Saccharomyces cerevisiae S288C: one gene and its partner. Changing the gene in region 1 together with any one later gene gives a genetic interaction. Each region holds a gene or a part of one and is shown on either strand. Other genes may lie near its edges.

What was found. A genetic interaction does not mean that the proteins touch.
Region 2: mutations in YOL131W (region 1) and YOR072W-B together harm fitness more than expected from each alone (negative genetic interaction), as found in Saccharomyces cerevisiae (one large-scale study listed by BioGRID).

The regions. Positions count from the first base shown.
Region 1 is NC_001147.6:69,705-74,790, reverse strand, and holds YOL131W (uncharacterized protein), read right to left. Parts: upstream 1,761-5,086; coding exon 1,434-1,760; downstream 1-1,433. Other genes in the region: Mg(2+) transporter ALR1, read right to left, coding at 1-391; GAS4 (1,3-beta-glucanosyltransferase), read right to left, coding at 2,076-3,491; SCF ubiquitin ligase complex subunit HRT1, read right to left, coding at 4,101-4,466; mediator complex subunit MED7, read left to right, coding at 4,747-5,086.
Region 2 is NC_001147.6:462,621-466,346, reverse strand, and holds YOR072W-B (uncharacterized protein), read right to left. Parts: upstream 1,879-3,726; coding exon 1,717-1,878; downstream 1-1,716. Other genes in the region: SGO1 (Sgo1p), read right to left, coding at 1-1,576.

The sequences.
Region 1 (5,086 bases):
GTGGCATGGAGTGGGCTAGTCTGGAAGGCCTCGCGTTAGAAGTTAAAATGGCAGATGCCCTCAATTGATGATGAGCAACCGTTTCATCCATACCCTGCCCTTCATCTTCAAAATCCATGCGGCCCCTACTGGGTACGCTTCCCACATCCACATGGCTGTTGTATCTCGTTGCACTCTTCTGCTCCTTAGGAATAGAAGGTTTAGTGGACTTAGCAATTTCCTTGTTCTTCAATGTTGGAGGTTGGTGACGGACCGGCAGTGAGTCAGGGTGCTGCCTATGGTCGTACAATCCCGTATGGTCTTCTGTTTTCATGGAAACCATCGTGTTAGCCAGTGAGTTTGACCGCGATAAATTAGGCGATGACTCTGATGAACTTGAGGATGATGACATGGTAAAATGCTTTTACGCTTTCTAGCAATATTCGATGATCTTTGAGAAGAAGTAATGGTATCCTTTTGTTGAATTTATGTTCAACTAACAGTATACTTCCATGTAGAAATATTTTATATAATACCTGTCTCTTGTCAGGATGATATTTTTCTTGCTTATAGAAGGAAAAACTCAACTAATCAGGGCACTCTTTCTAATTTTGAGTCTATATTGAAGGATGGCCTTGCACACTACGTTTTCTACTGTTAAGTCAGTTTATCCAGAAAAAGAAAAGTGTTCATAGGATAGGAACGTACGTTATTATGCATAATTAGTTCGATGGACCATGTTCCAGAGAAAATTTTAATTTCAGATATCGTTTTTGTATCTCAAAGCGGACGGGCTGAGTAAAAACGTGCTTGCGATATTTGCAATTTTATGAGGAATAAAAAAGAAAAAAGGAGGGGTAGCATTTAGCATATTAAGGATCATTGAGTCCCATGTATTACGGCAATTAAATGAGTAGATGCTGCCAGAGTACTGAAATTTTTAGGCAATTTTTGGCTTTAGTTGTGTCTACCGCCAGTTGAATGGAGCTATAAAACAAGTCTAGGTGAACCTACGCTGACATTTTGAAATTAATCAATTAAAATCAGTTTTTGATACATGCGTTATGTAATCCTTAGCGTAGAAGACCCTACTTGTTTCCTATAGAGGAAAAGGTTGTATATTTTAGAGATTCGTCCATTCAAGGGGTTGCATATAGGGGGGACATACTATAACGGAAAATACTAGTTCAAAGCGTTGCCCTCGAAAAAGAGACGGAGGAGTACGTAGAACAATACATAAACACACAATATACCATCGGAGAACAACAAGTTGTTCCAAAAAAGCAGTCGTCCTAGAGTGAGGCTATCATAGCGTAGACGCCTAAATACTTAACACTCTCAAACAAAAGTTCATCTTACGCATTTCATAGCTTGGTCAAAGAGTTAATGAGATAAAATCTCAAAGATTAGTAGAAAAGTTAGGATCGGAACTATTTTGATTCGGTTCTAATTTCCTAGTATTGCGAATCTACCGTGTTCTCTTCATCCTCCCCCTGCGATGAGCTTGGTGGAACGGGAGGGGGTGAATCCAAACATTTAAAGCCTTGAATCAAGGGCACATGTTCTTCCTCCAGGTCAGGGCTAAATATTCTACACCTAGATCGCTCTAACTGTGATTGCGCGTCATTTATCTTTATCTCTGGAAATACCTTTGTTTCCATGCGAATCCGTTTGGCAACTTTACTGAGGTTGAACCTTAAGTTCCATACAGAATGTGCTAGTTCTGCTCTTTGCAAAACCTTATCTTGGACTTCGTCTTGTGCTATCTTATTAGTATTCATTCTCTGTCTATCTTATCTTCTACGACTACTACTGCCAGGTCTTTATCTAAATAAGAAGTGGCAAAAGGATACTTAAAAGCTCGGCGGCAAAAGTTTCTCGGCCACTAATTTACCCTAATGGACTCGTACTGTGCATATAAAACACATATCATACCGAGTAAAGAAGTCACCCCAAGAAGAACTTAACTGGAAATTCCTGCATAGCGTTATTTCAGAGAGTGTTATAGGCTCTGATTTTTATCACGTTTAGCAATAGCCATAGTCACTTTTTTAAATATGTATTTACTCTTTAAAAAGGGAGAACGACATTAAAGTCTAAAAAAATAAACTAAAAGTAAAAAAAAGCAAACACAACCCAAGAGGTAACAATGGGCCGGAAATAGAGGCAGAATTCCGGTGTTTTCGTTTTAAATCATCTTTGTCTTCATCTGCGTCTTCTTGTTCTTCTCCTTCCAGGTCTGCCAATGTCAGGCTTTGCCTAATTTCAATCTTTTTGGGCCCATTCCATCTGTCACCATGCTTGTCTAAAATCGTGACATTGGTGGACAGCTGATCCTCGTGAATATCTATGTATTTGCCTTTTTCAACTTTCACGCCTTTTTTTATCAAAGAACTTCCTAAATTTTTAGCAATTTTAGATTCAATCTTCAAATTTTCATAATCTTCCGCACATGATGGCGTCTCCTCCATCTGAACAGTTTCCTTTAAAGTCTTCATAGAAGGAAACTCAATGTTTTGGTAGTGCGATTTAAGCTTCTCAAAATCTGCTAAGAGCTGTACTGAATCATCTTCTTGATATTCAACTAACCCATAATTATTATCCTCCTGTGAAAATTCGTAAACCAGACCTCCACAGAATACTGAATACATCTCCTCAGAAAACAAATAACCTATTTCCTGGAATTGCCTTGGCAATACTTTATTGCATCCAAATTCTGAAAAAAAAACTGGCTTGGAATAGCTCCTGTAAGCATCCACCAATGTATCGTACCCTGAAGTTTGCATAGTTTGTTGGCCACACCATTGGTAGGAGTTAACTCCGTAAAAATCAACGCTATTCTCTGGCTTATCATCATCTTTACACTCCAAATATTCGGACAGTGATACCCTATAGTTCAGGTCATCTGCAGCAGAGTAACCTACCGGAATTGTTCTGGGCGAGTGTGCGCTTATGTAATTCTTCATAGTTCCAATCAACTCCTTGACATAGGCAGGAGAATATTGTGCTGATCTTTTGTCGTTTACAATTTCATTCCCAGCAAAAAATCCTAAAGTATTATTGTAATGAGAAAATTGTTCGACAACCTTGAAAACGTGTTCTAAATAAACTTCATTATAGGTAGTCCAAGGTTCATATCTGTTTAAGTGCTGGTTTTGCAATGGGGAATTGACATCCAATATAAGATAGATACCTGCCATTGCGAGCATAGTCATGCACGCATCATGGTTCAGGTCCGGGTTTATAGAATAAATTCTTACTGTGTTTATTCCCAATTCTTGAAATAATAAAATATCACGAGCGCATGCATCTGGATTGGATAACGGATCCTGCTTTTCACTAACGTCGGAAGAGCCTCCTGGCTGATAATCCACACCTTTGATGAAGAATGGTTTTCCAGTCACTGTGTCAACGAAATGCTTGTCCTTAATTTGAATGGTGTGGACTGAAGCTTCACACAGTACAACTAACTCCAAAATTAGAAAAATAAAGGTGCTCGAAAAAACCATCATGCTCACGATTTTGTTCTTTTCTGCTTTATTTGTAGCGTTCGAGGTAAAATATATTTTTTTATTTTAATACTGCTTTACTCAGTATCCTATTATGTGTCGTTTTTTTGTGCCGCTACCTCAGTCTCACCTTACAATACGGAAAAAAAAGACTATTGGCAATTTCTTTACCCAACATAATTACCACTAAATTATTATAAGTGAACTTTTGGCCTAGTGTTTGTGTATATATATTTGTCCTTTGGAAGGGCAGTGATCGTCTTTAAATGTTTTAAACAAAAGAAGTATGTAAAAGCAGCCTGATAATAAATGTGCTCTTAAAGAGTCAAAATACTACTAATTTTTTAGCGGCTATATAGAGGTAGATTATGAACAAGGCTAGGATGATTTTGTTCTGTCACCTTTGTGGATGTCTTATTCCTACCCCGAGTTACTAACGAGATAAACAAAAAGGGTGCATACAACTCGATTATGCTATGTATATAACAAAATTCGACGTGGAAGAGAAAAACATGTATCTACTGCGCCAGTTGACATACTCTAAAAAAAAAGGAACATGCCATAATCCTTCTACCTCGGTATGATTTAAATGTTTACGGGCAATTCATTTTTTCACCTACCGCATCTTGCTAACTGCCAAGGTTGGTTATCTAATGGGCATGCGTCTCTTGTCTTGATCCATTTATTAATACAGTGCAAATGGAAAGCGTGATTACAGACACCCCAGGCTGCTACACATTCATTATCAGTGTCCGTCATGGCCTTTGGCTGGCATTCAATGCATGGTTCCATTATATGGTTCCTGCAAATAGCACAGTTGTCAACAGCTATATCCCATGACCAAAACGCCACTGCGGTCCATTTCTTAATTTCAAATCTCTTCTTTTTGGTTTCCACTGGCGCACTTTGGTTTGAGCTTTGCGCAATATTTTGCGATTCATCTTCATCAACATCCATCCTGTCAACTTCGTTGCTCATGTTGAACTATTTCTCTTTAAAGTTCTCTGCCACTGGAGAAAGACATTTAGTAGCAACCAACATTGCACATATTGAAGCCCATACGTCTATTGTGGGTTTCATGATCTCCCTCTTCACACCTTTAAAAGAAACTATTATCACGAAATACGAAATGTTAGTTAGAACTTAAACAACGAATCTTGCATTTTCAGCAGGCAGGTCATTAGACGTGCAAATATGACATAAAAGAGGTTTCATATCCCAAATTTAAGCTAGTAAAAAAAAAATTCACAAACTAAAAATGTCCAATGATCCTGGTAATGAGGTTAGCTCCTTGTACCCACCTCCACCCCCATACGTGAAGTTTTTCACACAGTCCAATCTGGAAAAATTACCAAAATACAAAGAAAAGAAGGCCGCAAGTGCGAAGCAGACGGCTCCAAATAACAGTAACGGCGGCAGTGAAGAGGAGATTACATGTGCGCTAGATTACCTAATCCCACCCCCCATGCCCAAAAATCAGCAGTACCGAGCGTTTGGGAGTATATGGCAGGTGAAGGACCAACTGCCCGATTTAGAGAGCATGGGACTCACCCAACTTTATAAGAAATCCACAGAAAACGAAAGCACAAATTATCAAT
Region 2 (3,726 bases), 390 kb from region 1:
GTCGCGTAGTAGAATTTTCATCAGATAAATTATTGACAATTGCATTTTTGAACAATTTTTTAGTTCTTGTTGACTTTTTCTTATTCTCCGATTTATTTGTAATGTCAAGTAAAGGCGACGATTTTTTAGGGCTATTGTTGCTAGTTAGTTTTTTTTCGTTTTTGTTGTTGCTGTTGTTGTTGGAAGTGGTCATTAGATGAGCGGTATCCTCGTGTATTTCATCTTCCGTTTTTTTCCCTTTTGGAGTTCCATAATCCTTTGAGACGACGACTTCTCTCAATTGCGGTTCGTCGGGTATTGAATCTTGGGATAAACTTTTCCTTTTATGTGAAGTTTCCCGATTTCTCTTGGAAACCTGTAGATCATGTATATCAATCACAGTAGTAGCATCCACAAGTTTTTCTGAAGGCCTCCTCATTTTGGCTCTTAAAGAAGGCAAAGTGTAATCTACAGCTTTACCACGAGTTCTTCTAGTTCTCGTAAATGATATTTCGCTGTTGCTGCTCATGTTACTTACGGGCATGACTTCGTCAATAACCTTTTTCTTCAGTTCTATCCTAGGCGGCTTCATGGAATGCTTAATTTTGGTCTTTGGATGAGAATTAGTAGAAGAACTTGATGAAGGATAGACCGTTGAAGCATCGCTAGTGGTAGTAGGTAAAGTTGCGGATGGGCCTGGTAAAGGCAACGGCAAAGGATTTGACGGCACTGTACTTAGCATATTTGTACTGTCATTGAATATTTCTAGTTTAGAAGATGAATGCTCGGGTTCTGTCGGATTCTCCTCTGGTATGGAGTATTCTATAATTGAATTGGTAAAATTACTGACAGAATCGCTATTTTCCTCTTCAGGGTTTAAGGCATCTATTGTTTCCTCCACTTGCGCAGACTCGTGTGATTCTGCCGGTACCTCTACAGAGGAATTTTCCATCATGGGTTCGTTTTCACCGGTTTCGTCTTCAGGTTCTAAACTCGTGGATACAAACATAGATTGCCGCCTAGAACTCTTCCTTTTTTTAGCCTTAGGCTCAAGATCTGGACCATCGTCCTTGTTAAAACTTGATTCATGCGACAGGTTATTCTCGTGATTTGATAACCTAGTGTAACTTTTTGAGTATGTGGGTGATGACAATGAGCATGATCTTGACCTGGAACTCGTTCTCTTCAACATTGTTCTTAAGCTCGAACTGGGCAAATTTTCGTTTTTACGTACGTTCTCAAACATATAAAAAATTTCGTCAAATCTTTGAATAATACCGTTTTCAATGACTTGTAGTTGATTACTTAACCGTTCCCTGTAGATAGCTTCGCTTATAGAGGTTTTAGATCGTAGAGTCACGTTTTCTTGTACCAGCTGGCTTATTTTTTTTTCCAAGCTATTAACTTTAATTTTTAATATGGAGTTATCCTTGGCCAGCAGGGAGTTTTGCCTCGAATACGACTGTCTGATGTTTTCCACTTTTTGCGATTCGAGATCCATTAGGTTTTGAAATTCTTGTATTTGTGGGGTTAAATCATCGTGGGAGACCGTACGCCTGCTGCTTTCCTTGTTAGGAGCAATTTTTCTCTTCGGCATGGTCAAACAATAACCCCTCTATACCCAATTAAACATATATATGCGTGTGTAAGTAATATAACCCTGCGCCTAGCAGTAGTTGTAATGTGGAAATGGCATTATCAATATTAGTAGACGCTCACTTTGTGAAATTTCTTTGTTTACAAAACAAAAGGGCCTTGAAAAAAATAAAAAAAATCTGTTACCCGACCAATAGGAAATAAATAATCAAAAATAAAAGGGGCGAGCTGGGAATTGAACCCAGGGCCTCTCGCATGCTTTGTCTTCCTGTTAGTCAGGAAGTCGCCCAAAGCGAGAATCATACCACTAGACCACACGCCCTTGTTAACTTGTTGTTAAGACTACTTAGTCTTGAGTATCACACTGCATTCAGTAACATATATTCTTTTAATCTTCTGGCTGAGAACTCCAAGAATAATCGCTAAAAATACTCAAGGGTAAGTACCCCAAACAAAGTTCTGTCCTTCTTAGATATTTTAAATGAGGGAAACTAAATCATTAGTTTATTATTTAGATGCATTTTTCCCAGCTTTAACCTTTTTATTTAAAGGAAATTATAAAAAAAATTTTAAAAAAATGAGTTTTGCGTATCCAATAAATAATAGACAAGATGCTGTCACAACAGTATTAAAATTTCTGAAAGATTCTGCTGTCTCTGGACTGTGTAATACAACAATTCTTCGGAAAACTTGATTCGGAATAAACAATGGTCTTTCATTTATGGAAAATTTTCTTCTTTGTCTCGGTCACTAAAAAAAGCCTTAGCAAAGCTATATAGAAAGAAAATAGTGATATGGTGTATTTGCCGTAAAACTATGGTTTATCCAAGGTCGCCTTCAGTAAACTTTCGGAAATATATTCATCGGAGATATATTATATAATGAGTACATAGCAATCTAATCATGCTGGGTCTTCTTGCACCCCAATGAAACCATAATCATGTAAATGCTTGAAAATTCCGGGCATACTATCCTCTTCCTCAATAACCCAATCGAAGTAGAGTGCTAGTTGTGCACTATGTCCTTGCTGCTCATTAAATAAATTTACTGACAGTTTGGTGGAATTTCTTTGTTCGATCAGATAGTACTGTTAGGTATTTGTTGACATTTACTTCCCTATCACATCAGACCACTGTTTCTCCTTCCTTTTTGCCATCTTCTTACCTATTATATGATAATATAGTTCAAAAGGAAATACCAGTCAATGAATGATAATTGGCTCTTACTCCAACCGTTCTTAATCTGGACCAGTAATTGTTCTTATGGTGAAAAAGTATGGTGACGTCTTTACTTTTAAAAATATTTTTAACAGTTGAAGGAGCTCCCCGTGTACATCTTGCCAGATCTTCAAGAGAAATGTCACCAAATAAATTATGAAATTAAAGTACAGCGGTAGTGATAAAAACGATCATCAAGTAGTGCCATCCGATATTTCGTGTCAATTTCCAAGCTCATGATTTATGACATACAGGATTTTCAAGAATATTAAATCTTGTTCCTGAGGAATTTTTGATAAATCCAATAAATAGTAAATAATAAGAAAAAAGACAGAACAACAACGTTTTGGTGGGAGAAAGGCCACTTCTCTGACCAGACTAGAGTACTAATATTTACGACAAATATACTGAGACCGTGACCAATGGTAGAAGGTGATTGGCTTGAAAGAAATGCCAACATTAAAGCACATATCACTGCTCTTGATATCAGTAGAGTTGCAAAAAAATTATACTACTAAAATCAGCTCAACGGCAAGAAGTTACTAAGCACAGCAGAAATTCTGGAGCTAAAGAGAATAATATACATACAAGACTGACTGAAAACTCTGTTTTCCACATGCAGTGGACTCAAAATATTCAGTTGAAGAAGCAAGCACAAAATTGGATCAACCCGTCGCGTCGCGGCCGCTGCTGCAGGCGACAAATCCACTGGCAAATTGTACGCGGCCTCGTTACTCCTACTTGAAAACAGAAGTAACAACAACAAATTCAAGTTTCTACGAAATGGGTCTCATGACGACAAGGTGCGCCCCCCTATCTACCTTGTTGTAAGTCTGGGACCTGGGGCTAATTTCTCATCCCCGGAAACAAAAGTATACAACTACGTGGCTAAAAATTTTTTAGTATGCAGCACATAGGATGCCAAGGAGCAATT